2 linked regions of the Drosophila melanogaster genome follow. The protein of the gene in region 1 interacts with the protein of each later gene in a pairwise test. Each region holds a gene or a part of one and is shown on either strand. Other genes may lie near its edges.

Region 1 (6,601 bases):
CACGGTGCAGTACACAGAGCGACTATCCCATTGGCCATACTGGCTGAATACGGCTACGGCCAAGTACGTGGTCACCAAGTCATTACCCGGAGTATCGCCCGTGGCCTATGCCATTAAGTCCACGCATCAGACTTGCTTCTTTGCCGGATTCTATTGCCGTAAGATAAGACGGAAGTGATATGAATGCCCTCGCTAATCGTAAATGAATCTCTATTGCAGTACAATCACTGAGTGAATTCACGTTCAGAAACTCCAATGGTGATACCTTTGCCCAGGAGAACATCCAGTATCAGTGTCCACCACTCTTGGGCGGCATGTGTAGGCGGGAACTGGAGTTCCAGCGCCAGGCGGTGATGCACAACTTAACGATAATATTCGGAAAACAGAGAGGATAGCATACCAGGATCTAGTTCAAATTTAAATCATATGTGCAAACAACTAATTGACTTACCTACCAATAATCTTAATTCCTAATAAAAAAAAAACACACACAATACTTTGTTTTTAAATGTAAACCCTGTGTTTATTTAACGATGATACAAAATTACACGGTACTTGCTTCTAAAAACGATATCTTTCGTTACTTTAAAATTGTTGAATACACTTTGAATGCGTATTGAAATAATTTAAAAAAAAAAAAACACGTCTAAATCAGGTGGCACATTTTGGAAAATGAATTGAGAAACTAGATAAACTTGTGAACTAATAATTTACCAATTATATCTACTTACAAGATACGCATACAATATTATGCAGTGTCTTTTCAATTTTATGGTAACCTTACTCTTCAAAATGCGCACACAAAGTATAATTTTAACTAAATTAGCTAGACGGTCCTGTGCAATTTGATTTTACAACCTCATATTTGGATGCTGTTAACTTTTGATTTCGTACTATATGTTATATATTCCTTCATTCATTATATATTCAATAATTGGATTTGATTTGATTTGGTTTTTGTCATTTTCATTGATTGCTGTTCATCACTTGAACAGTTCCAATCGCTTTCTTTTGGTCGGTCCTGATGCTCCACCACTTCTCGCCGATCGCGTTTGACAAGCTGCTGCACTTGTGGATGAATTCACCGGCGTACTTGGTGCACTAACCGATTCCACGGAGCTGGTCTGTGAGGCTCCACCGCCGAAGACGGAGCCAAACCAGCGTGTTAGTTTCGTGGCCTGAGTGGATTTAGCACCCTGTTTGGGAGATTTGGGTGACTTGCGCAGCGATGCAAGAATGGAATTGCGATTACCATTCGAAGGTTGCGTTCGCTCCTGCGTAATTCCAGAACCTATCAAATAATTGGTGATTTTATTGGCCTGCGACGGCCTGACGGACTGTTGATCCGGTTGCACGGGCGATACTTCGCCAGAGGAGTTCAATCGCATGCGACTGCCAAATTGGCCATTGTTCGTTATCTCAAAGAAGTCATCTTCCAGCAGGGTTCTTCTTCTCTGCGTAATGGTAGACTCTGCATCATCCTTCTGGGTCAGTGGCAAGGTTGGCAAGACTTTGGGACTAGTTTTAGCCGACTGCTGTTGTCGTGGCTCGAACATTTGCTCCAGGATATCCAAACACGAGCGATCTCGCTTCTTTTTTGGCACCGATATATTTACTTTCGCTAGCTGCTGCTGAAACTGCTTCACCTCAGAGCCAAAGATCTTAAAGCCTTCGAAGGGCGATGAGGGTCTTGGTTGCGCCAGCGGAATCTGCGAGTGTTCCGAGGATATGCTAAATAGATCTGGAGATTTGTTGGCACTCCTCTTGGCCGGTGGTAGACCCAATCCGCCGCCGAAACTTGAATTGACGGACGTCACGGGTTTGCGTTTTCTTTTCAAAGCCTTGGTGCGACGACTCTGCGATGGATCCTGCGGAGAACACTCATCGTGCGAGCTATTGATCACCACTGTCTCAACTGGATCTTTGTAAAGCGGAATAGACACCACCTCAGAATCGTTGAGCAAATTGTGTGTAGACGGCAAGGTTAGAAGCATTGGAGTTTGTTGAGGTGTAAAGGGCACACGAAAAGCGGGCGACTCAATGGCATCCAAATTGTCTGGTATTCGCTGAGCACATTGCATGTACTCCGAGGACAACGAGCTACCACTGAGAACTTGAGGAGTAGGTGGCAAGTGCTTTGAATTCGGCTTAGTCTTTGTCTTCCCCAAATCTTCAGTCTTGGTTTGGCATTTTCTCGGACGTCCAGGCTTTCGTTTCGCAGTTCCTTGAGCAGGTACATCCACCGTCTTCTGTTTCTTTTCCTGCCCGACTTTAGACTTAGGCTCCTGCTTCACTATTTGTTTGCTACTTCTGGGCGTTTGGTTACCCTCCAACTTGACTCTCCTTGGAAAGCTACGCTTGACATCATCCAATGAGCGATGTTTCAAGTACTTACTGTTTATTTTTGTTTCAGCGGATCGTGTTAGGCGCTGCATTCCCCTTGTGGCTGGACGACCCACATCCACTGGGCTCACCGTGCGCTTTTTCAGATTTTTTCTTCTAGCTGTGGGCTCCGTTTTGGGCGTTACGATCGCAGTAGTGGTTCTGGACGGTGGTGGTGTGCTCAGAGTATCGAGGGAAACCCTTAAAATTCGAACATTGAGTCTCCTTGTCTTAGGTGTCAGATGAACGGTGGCTGCACGAGTTCTCTTCCTTGGCGGCATATTATCGGTCGCTTCATCATCCTCTTCGGAATCGGTGAGATCAGCTTTTTTGCGCGGTGACGTTTTTTTGCTAAATTTTTTCTTTGATTTCGTCCTTGGTGATTCATTTAATGAGGGCGTTCGATTTTGCGGAGTACTTGGAGGTGTTACAATCTCACAATCATCGCTGGATACAACTAATACCGGGTTTTGATCTGCATCAGGTTCTACTGTTAGGGGTTCATCGTCAGACTCGGAATACTCGAATATCAGCGGTGACATTGCCACATCATCCACGCTGTGCTCGGATAACCTATCCGTTTCTTCAAAGAGCCCAGTTTTATTTTGCTGAGCCGGATTGTTGTCTATGGAAGCGATTGTAGAGCACACATCTGAGCCGCTTATTGTGCTCTGGCTGTTCTTTGAGGCCAACCAGAGATTCAGATTGTGTTTGTATTGCTCCGGTGCGACAAGTGGCAGTGACTTGTCGAATTGATGACGAAAACGACGCAGACGAAAGTCCCTACAAATTATATAAGTTATTTTCATATGCAACTGACTATTCCGGTCTTATGCAACAGTGAAACTGATCGTTGCTGGTTCACCTACTTGATGTACTCGCTGAGGAATCCCCGCTGCTTGTAGTATTCCTCGAGATCTATGCGCTTACTGAATACCTCCTTCGGATCTGGCAGATGGAATTTTCGATCGAAGCTCGCAAAGCTTTTGTACTGATGCTCCAGTCGGCCGCCCAACCGTAGAACATTGTAGAGCAACCTAACGTCGGACTGCAGAGAGAGAGAAACCACATAAGCTAAAATGATATAAACCATATTATGAATGCATTGCCTCACCGTAACGTCAACACTGGAGATAAGAACGTTTACCCGTCCCTCGAATTGCTTCAGCAGCATGGAAGTGCAAAAGCTGTTGTTCAGCGAATGCCCCCGATTATCCACCATAATGTAGTCGAACTTGAGGCGACTGAGATCTCCAATGCTCCGTAGTTGGCTCCATTTCGCCAGGTAAACGCTGTGCGGGGAGTCGGTGGTATCTGTAAAGGCAGAAAGTGAAGGTGTTGAAGTTTAATTTTTAAATGGCAATAATGTGAAATTACGATAACATTCTTATCAACAAATCCATTTAAATATTAGGCATTACCTTGCACCCCCTGAATGATGTACACCTGGAGGTCAGTGAGAGTGTCCAAATGGAATCGCCAACCGGTGAGCAGTTGCTCATCGTTCTGGAGCACCACAAGTGTTTTTTTGGCGGGTGGTAGGGCACTTAGAAGTGCCGCCACCGTAGCGACCTTTCCAAGGCCACTCTCATCATTCAGGATGCAGAATTCCCGCTTAGCCAAACGATCGTAGACGAAGCGGACGGCATCCAGTTGAAAGCTCTTGAGGTACTGCGTCACGTGGCTCGTGACCAGTGCCTCATCTGTGAGCCGCACCTCCGGCGTTTGCTCGGATACAAAGTGATACATGATCCTTCAGAGAATTCGAATCAATGGTGTGCGTGATGCAGGGCCAGATAGATGGCAACCAGGATGTAGAATAGTTGCAGGTACGAGAAGATCACGAACATCGAAAATGAACCAATTATCATCTTTCGCGCCGCAGACGGCCCATCGAATTCGATATTCTCCGGATGCAGTATGTCCACCACGTTGTAGTTGTTGTTGATGATAACAGGATGTTGGATCTCGTACATGTGTTGAAACTAGTTAAGCTTCAATTTTTTCGGAGGACAATTTTCGTCCCTTTTGGGAAATTGGGTTAAGCGCTGTTAGTCATGGCGGGGGCGCGGGAAAAGGCTTAACAATCGAACAAGAAGAAAATATTATTTTTGGCTCCAATTCTATTTCACCATTCACACAGAACCGGCTGCGTCTTGTTGGCGCGATCAGCTGTTGGACGTTGGTAGTGTTGGCAAACGAAGCAATGTCTAGAAATAGCCAAAAGAGATACTGCTCTTGATTAATAGCAAAATATTAAAAAAAACTTACTGAACCGACAAGGATTAGTAAAATACATTAGGTTGGAAACCTTTGGCGAGTAAAATGTTTTTAAATTAAATTATTTATTCTGCCAACTCAAAACTTGTGTAAGGAATTCATTTTTATAGCTGCATTTAGCTCATCACTGTTGCAACTGTTGTGATTTCGTTTGCGGTTTGTTTCGCATGGAATTTGTTTAAATTTATTCAGACCAAATTGCCATGGCTGTTGCAAAGAAGGAAAAATTTGAGGCAAAAAAGAAAAGCCCTGAAAAGGGAAAACAGCAGAAAGCCAAAGTTGTTCCTGTCACACCGCCACCAAATGTAAAACAACGAACTGTGGTCACTCCTTGGCGAGACACGTGCGTAGACAAAAAGTGGAAACAAATCCAATCCGTTGATAAAAACATTACATTTTCAGGCTGGAATTTAATACAACGTACAAATGGTTGTTTGGCAAGTCCAACACACCAGCCACATGGCGTCAAGCGCTCAGTAAAATCCGCATTTGGTGTCTGCGAAGAGGAAGTCTCTGCCCGGCAGCGGTTTTGGCCACATCGGTGCTTGTTCAGGCGCACTTGGAGGACCAGGAGGGCAGCGCCAAAATACAGGACACCTATGCCAGTGCCTTTACACGATTCTACAACTTTATGTCCTCCATTATCCAGGGACACAACATGTCCAGCATGTATGAAACGGCCAAGGAACTGGGCCTCCAGTCGTTCATCGTTGATCTGCGCCACTTGTGCGCCCATGGACAGGAGCTGCCGCCTGTGGAGGTGCTGAGAAACACCTCGAATCATTGTCTGGAGTGGCTGCGCACCTACTACTGGTTGCCACACATGGAAACCATGTCCAATTTGGATGCTGGCAAACTGCATCGCAAGGACAAGCTTAAGTTTGAAAAGGCTGTGACAGATCTTCTGGAGATCTACGATCTAACCCTGGAGTGCCATATCAAGGGGGCTGAGAAACTAAAGGCCATTAGCAAGCTAAAATCCAGTGGTGAATTCAATAAGATACGAGTCTACTCCTCCAGCAAGAAGGCGAAGACATCGAAAGAAATTCTGAGTGCTGTGTTAGGTGATCTAAGTGCGTTGGTCAAAAAGGAGTCATCATCGATGAAGGATCTGCTGGACATATATACAAAATGCCTGCTTAAAATGAAATACTTCCTTGGCGTTGGCTTGGAAATCGACGACAACGAGGATGTCATCATTGCAGCCACACAGGGACTCTTCCGTCTATTGGCCGTGCAGGGATATATCGAGAAGGTTTTTTTGGCCCTAGTTCAACTGAGTGAAAACCAAAACGAGTCGGAGCAAAGGCGTCTGGGAGCCAGCTACTGGGCAAAGAAAATGTTGGAAACATTTGGGATGCTGTTCCGTATGAAGCGCATGTACAAAGCCGAACTGGATTTGGTTAGTATAAATACGGAGTGTGTTAACGATGAAAACACTAAAATATTCTTTATTTTCCAGAACGATAAACTAAAACCAGCGGACTTTGCCACCCTAAACACGGATAAAATTTCTAAGACAATGCGCAGTCTGTTAGTACACTCAAATGCCGATCTCTCGGTTACCCTTATTTTTGGCGACAATCCCAAAAAGTCCAGGTCTTTGATTTTTGATCGTGATTTTATTATGCAGCGTGTTGATGCATTTAGCAATTACTCAGCGCCCATTCTAAAAGGGTAGGTATACATTTTTTTTTGGGTTTACTTGCTTTTGGATTAATAAGATTGACATTTTCTTAGATTATTACCGCTCGCAGATCCTCCATACACCAAGACGCAAATTGAGGATTTAACTAAACTCTGCGATGCACAGCTTGAAGAATTTTATGAAGAGGAAGCTATGGAAGAAGATAGCTCTTCAGAGGAGAGCAACAATCTAGACCGTTTGGAACGATTTTTGGAACAAGCAGCTCAAAGCAAAGAGCATACATCAGACTGG
Region 2 (3,801 bases), on another chromosome or scaffold:
TGCCCAACAATGCTTCATGTTTGCTTCAGAAAACTGAGTGAACGAACGGCTGGCAGTGGGTATCATTATATTTCTTTGCTGAGCAGCTTAAAAGCTTATCAGCCGACAAAGATGTATTCGAAGTACATATGTACATGTACATATGTACATGCATATGCACATAAATTGTGTTATTCCCAAAGATTGCACAGAAAACGCTTAAGTTAAGAGATTGCGAAAGAGATATTTCCGAATTCTTTGGAAATATCCATTAAAGTTTTCAAAAAAAATGTTCAGATTAATTAAACTGGTAACGATCATTCCCAGGACTATACATATATATCTCACAGGATTTGATACGCTTAATTCTAGCTGTTACATACCTTTTAACTAATCGAGTTATGTATCTACCCTTTACCTTTTCGAGTAACGTGACCTGTATAACACGTAATAAAGTTTCAATATAAAAAAAATTTTTTTTTTATGTACGCATATATAAAAAAAAAACATAAAGAGGAAAGAACTACAAATATGCGTACAAAAGAATTATCATCTGAAATATGTACACATTTATATACATAACACTGACCTTAGGATGCATGGATTATCGCCGAGTGAAATGCCTATTTTTTTTCCAATTTGGGATTTTCCTAGCCACTGTCGATTTGTACTATTTTTCCTATTTTTTTGTAAATATTTAAAGCTATATAAATGCAACGCTATATATTCAGCTGAATATTATGGACATCGATTTAAAAATCTTTGCTAATATCGTCTCAAAAACCTTTTTTAATGAAAAAATTTTTAAATTTGATTTTGATTAAAAATTCATTTATTTTGTATATTTATACAATAATGCATAATCACAATCTTAATGAAGAATTGATGTAATAATCTTTAAGCGTTAGCCAAAGTATGCTATCCTATTATAAATCCAACTTCTGAACATTGCCACATTGGTGTAGATTCCCGGGAGGTCCAATCCACACCCCATGCCCCAGGCGACGATCCCAGCCTGCTCGAAGACGTGTGGATTCTCATCTCCGAGGGAGCAGAACAATGCATAACCTCCACCGCCAAAGCAGAAATCCCGGTTTATTTCACTTCGGGCGCAAATCAGACTCGGATGAAGATCAAAATTCCTGCCCAAAGTTGTATTTCTAAACTGAGCCACGCATGTCGTTCTGTCCAACACGGTTAACTCTAATTTCTTTATAATTCTCATACGGCTTTGATCATGGGAACTCACCAAGTCCCAACCGGCAACCGTACAGCGACGTCCCTCGAACGACGCTTGTCGGCTTGGCAACGTCAATACTCCAATGCGATCGTTTAGCACGAACGGTGTTTTTACGAAAATAAGAGCCACATTATTAATACCCGACTGAAAAATGAATCCTTCATGTCTCACAATCCTTTCAACAACGCGCTCCTCATACTGAATGGGTTCATTTGTTGTGTTCATGACAAACTCGCCGGCCCTAACCACAATTCTATCTTCATTCATTTTGTTCATTGTGTTGTGGGCTGCCGTTAGGATCACTTTTGGACTAATTAGTGAGCCGCCGGTCAAGTAAACTTCTTCGTAAAATAGGGCTACCACCCAGGAATATAGACCAGTCGTATTGCACCTGCCTCCTGGCTGTGTCCGTTCAGTTGGCTTTGGTTGCTCAGCTTGCGCACCATCATTTGTTGGGGCGCCCGATCCTTTAAGTGGCCAATAAGTAATGGGTACATCAGGTTCCGTAGAAACATTGTTTTGGGGCTCACTTGAGACTGTTGGTCTCGTTGGAAAATAGATAAAGGTTGGTATGTTTTCCTCTTCTGTAGAAGATGACTGAAAAGTTGAAAATTTAATATTAAACAGATTCAATTGCAATTTAAAATAATAAGCATACTGCAGACTCAGAATCGGATTCCTCATTCGGTCCGCTAGGGATATAAGGACTCTGCAAATTATGAAATATTAATTCCAAATCTGCGTACAGGGATTCTAATCAAAATATATACACCTTTATGATAATGTCACAACAGACGTGATTAAATGGGCAACTATTTAGTTTTCGACTTAGTATTAAGCACTTCTCCATAGGGACACAATACCTACAGGCTTCGCCCGAAAGGACGCAGAATAAAAGAATAGCTGCTGTGGCCACGATCGATCCCATGTTTGCTCGGGATGATTAAATTGACTGAGAGATAGAGCAAGCTTTCCGATGCTTTAGTACACTTTATATTATATTAAGTCTTATCAGTTACAAAAAAAAAAAAAAACAATATGTGAAAAGGAATTTCTGTAAACATTTTTCGAAATTTTTTCATAATTTTATAAGTCTTGTAAATTTTTATCGATTTGCAAAAAAAAAGCTTTTTGCCACGCCCAATCTAACGAGATTTCGCCGCCGAAATCTAAATTTTTTCTCATTTTATTCCCAGAATAATGATGAACTTTCGCATTCGCATTCACATTAGCTGAGTAACGGGTATCTGATACTCGGGGAACTCGACTGTAGCATTCTCTCTTGTTATATTTTTATCGTTTTGTTTAAATTATATGCTATAATTATATGCTTATATGCTATAGGCTAATCTAATTCTTATTCACTTTCCTACTTAAGGCACACTGGAGAATTGGAACAATTGCGTGAGAGTGCTCAACAAATGTCGAACGAAATCACAGAGTTGCGCCAGGAGATCAACCGAAATCGCAACGGTGTCTTCGGTGATTCCTGCTGTCGCCTCGGACTCGGACGCCTCCACGACCATGTGATTGCGCCCTTTCAAGGCAACCATATCTGGATAAAACTTCGACGCTATTCCTTTAACGTGATATATTTGTTTGCTTTGTATCTGCTGCCTGGAATGTCTCTCAAATATCGTCAAAACTAAACCTAATTAAATAAACTTTCTATAAAAATATTTTCAAACAGTTACCAAATTAATGTAATCCCCAATAATCCCCCAATAATTCCCCTATTATGGGGGAAGAGTCACAGTGCTGTTTGCGTTGGAATCGTTTGTGGTTTTCTGAAACCTATGTTAACATGCAAATGACTATTGTTAACTTGCTTAACTTTTTTTTTTTTAGTGTAATGATAAGGTAAGCCTATGGTGGGTGTTTGTAGAGCTTGACACAGAACTTTAAAACATATTTTAGTCATTGCAACTGGGTCTTTAAGGTTCTACTTAAAGGAAATCAGCTAGAAATTTACAAATTATAAATTAAGAACTTTAAAAGTAATAGAGAGATAACTTTTCCCTAACAAATGCGTAAATAATTAAATAATATATAAATAATAAATAACAAACAGAAATTGAATACGCTATCAATGCCTTTTTTATAGGCTTATTAAACTTTGGCTTTAGCAATTTTTGGAACGTCAATTAATATTGATAAGCTAAACAAAAAAATGTATAAGGTCGTTTCTGGGTATTGGTATTGGGTAGGCTAACACTAGAATATTAGAATACTAATATATTTTATACTCTTATTGTTAAATAAAATAGTTGGTGGCCTAAAAGAACACCTACTATACATATACATAAGATATATTAAGACGTCACTTTGAACGGCAGTCCACGTAGTAACGAAGCGCACCAGGAGTGTACGAAGGCTTTGATGGTAAAATCATAGTGATACACGAATCGAAAGATTGTTTTTTTTTTTACCTTTTTAAGAAGAGTTTTTGTTTCATTTTATATATAACGCAGATTCCAAAAAATAACATTAAGAAAACAATCTAAGCTCATATTTGCTAGTTTGTTTATTTTCACATATTTTGCAATGAGTATTTTGTATAATTTATATATATTTCTGGGCTA

The links.
Region 2: the proteins of SuUR (region 1) and CG18563 interact in a two-hybrid assay, tested with the Drosophila melanogaster proteins (one large-scale study listed by BioGRID).

The regions. Positions count from the first base shown.
Region 1 is NT_037436.4:11,062,925-11,069,525, reverse strand, and holds SuUR (suppressor of Under-Replication), read right to left. Parts: upstream 4,536-6,601; 5' UTR 4,359-4,535; coding exon of another isoform or gene 4,152-4,358; 5' UTR 4,132-4,151; coding exon 3,804-4,131; intron 3,697-3,803; coding exon 3,497-3,696; intron 3,431-3,496; coding exon 3,252-3,430; intron 3,166-3,251; coding exon 984-3,165; 3' UTR 501-983; downstream 1-500. Other genes in the region: CG6310 (uncharacterized protein), read left to right, coding at 1-158, 220-395; CG45101 (uncharacterized protein), read right to left, coding at 4,152-4,358; CG32075 (uncharacterized protein), read left to right, coding at 4,866-5,005, 5,065-6,064, 6,125-6,339, 6,403-6,601.
Region 2 is NT_033779.5:17,455,879-17,459,679, forward strand, and holds CG18563 (uncharacterized protein), read right to left. Parts: upstream 2,167-3,801; 5' UTR 2,148-2,166; coding exon 1,992-2,147; intron 1,929-1,991; coding exon 1,878-1,928; intron 1,817-1,877; coding exon 884-1,816; 3' UTR 792-883; downstream 1-791. Other genes in the region: CG5050 (uncharacterized protein), read left to right, coding at 2,598-2,868; SPH93 (serine protease homolog 93), read right to left, coding at 1-18.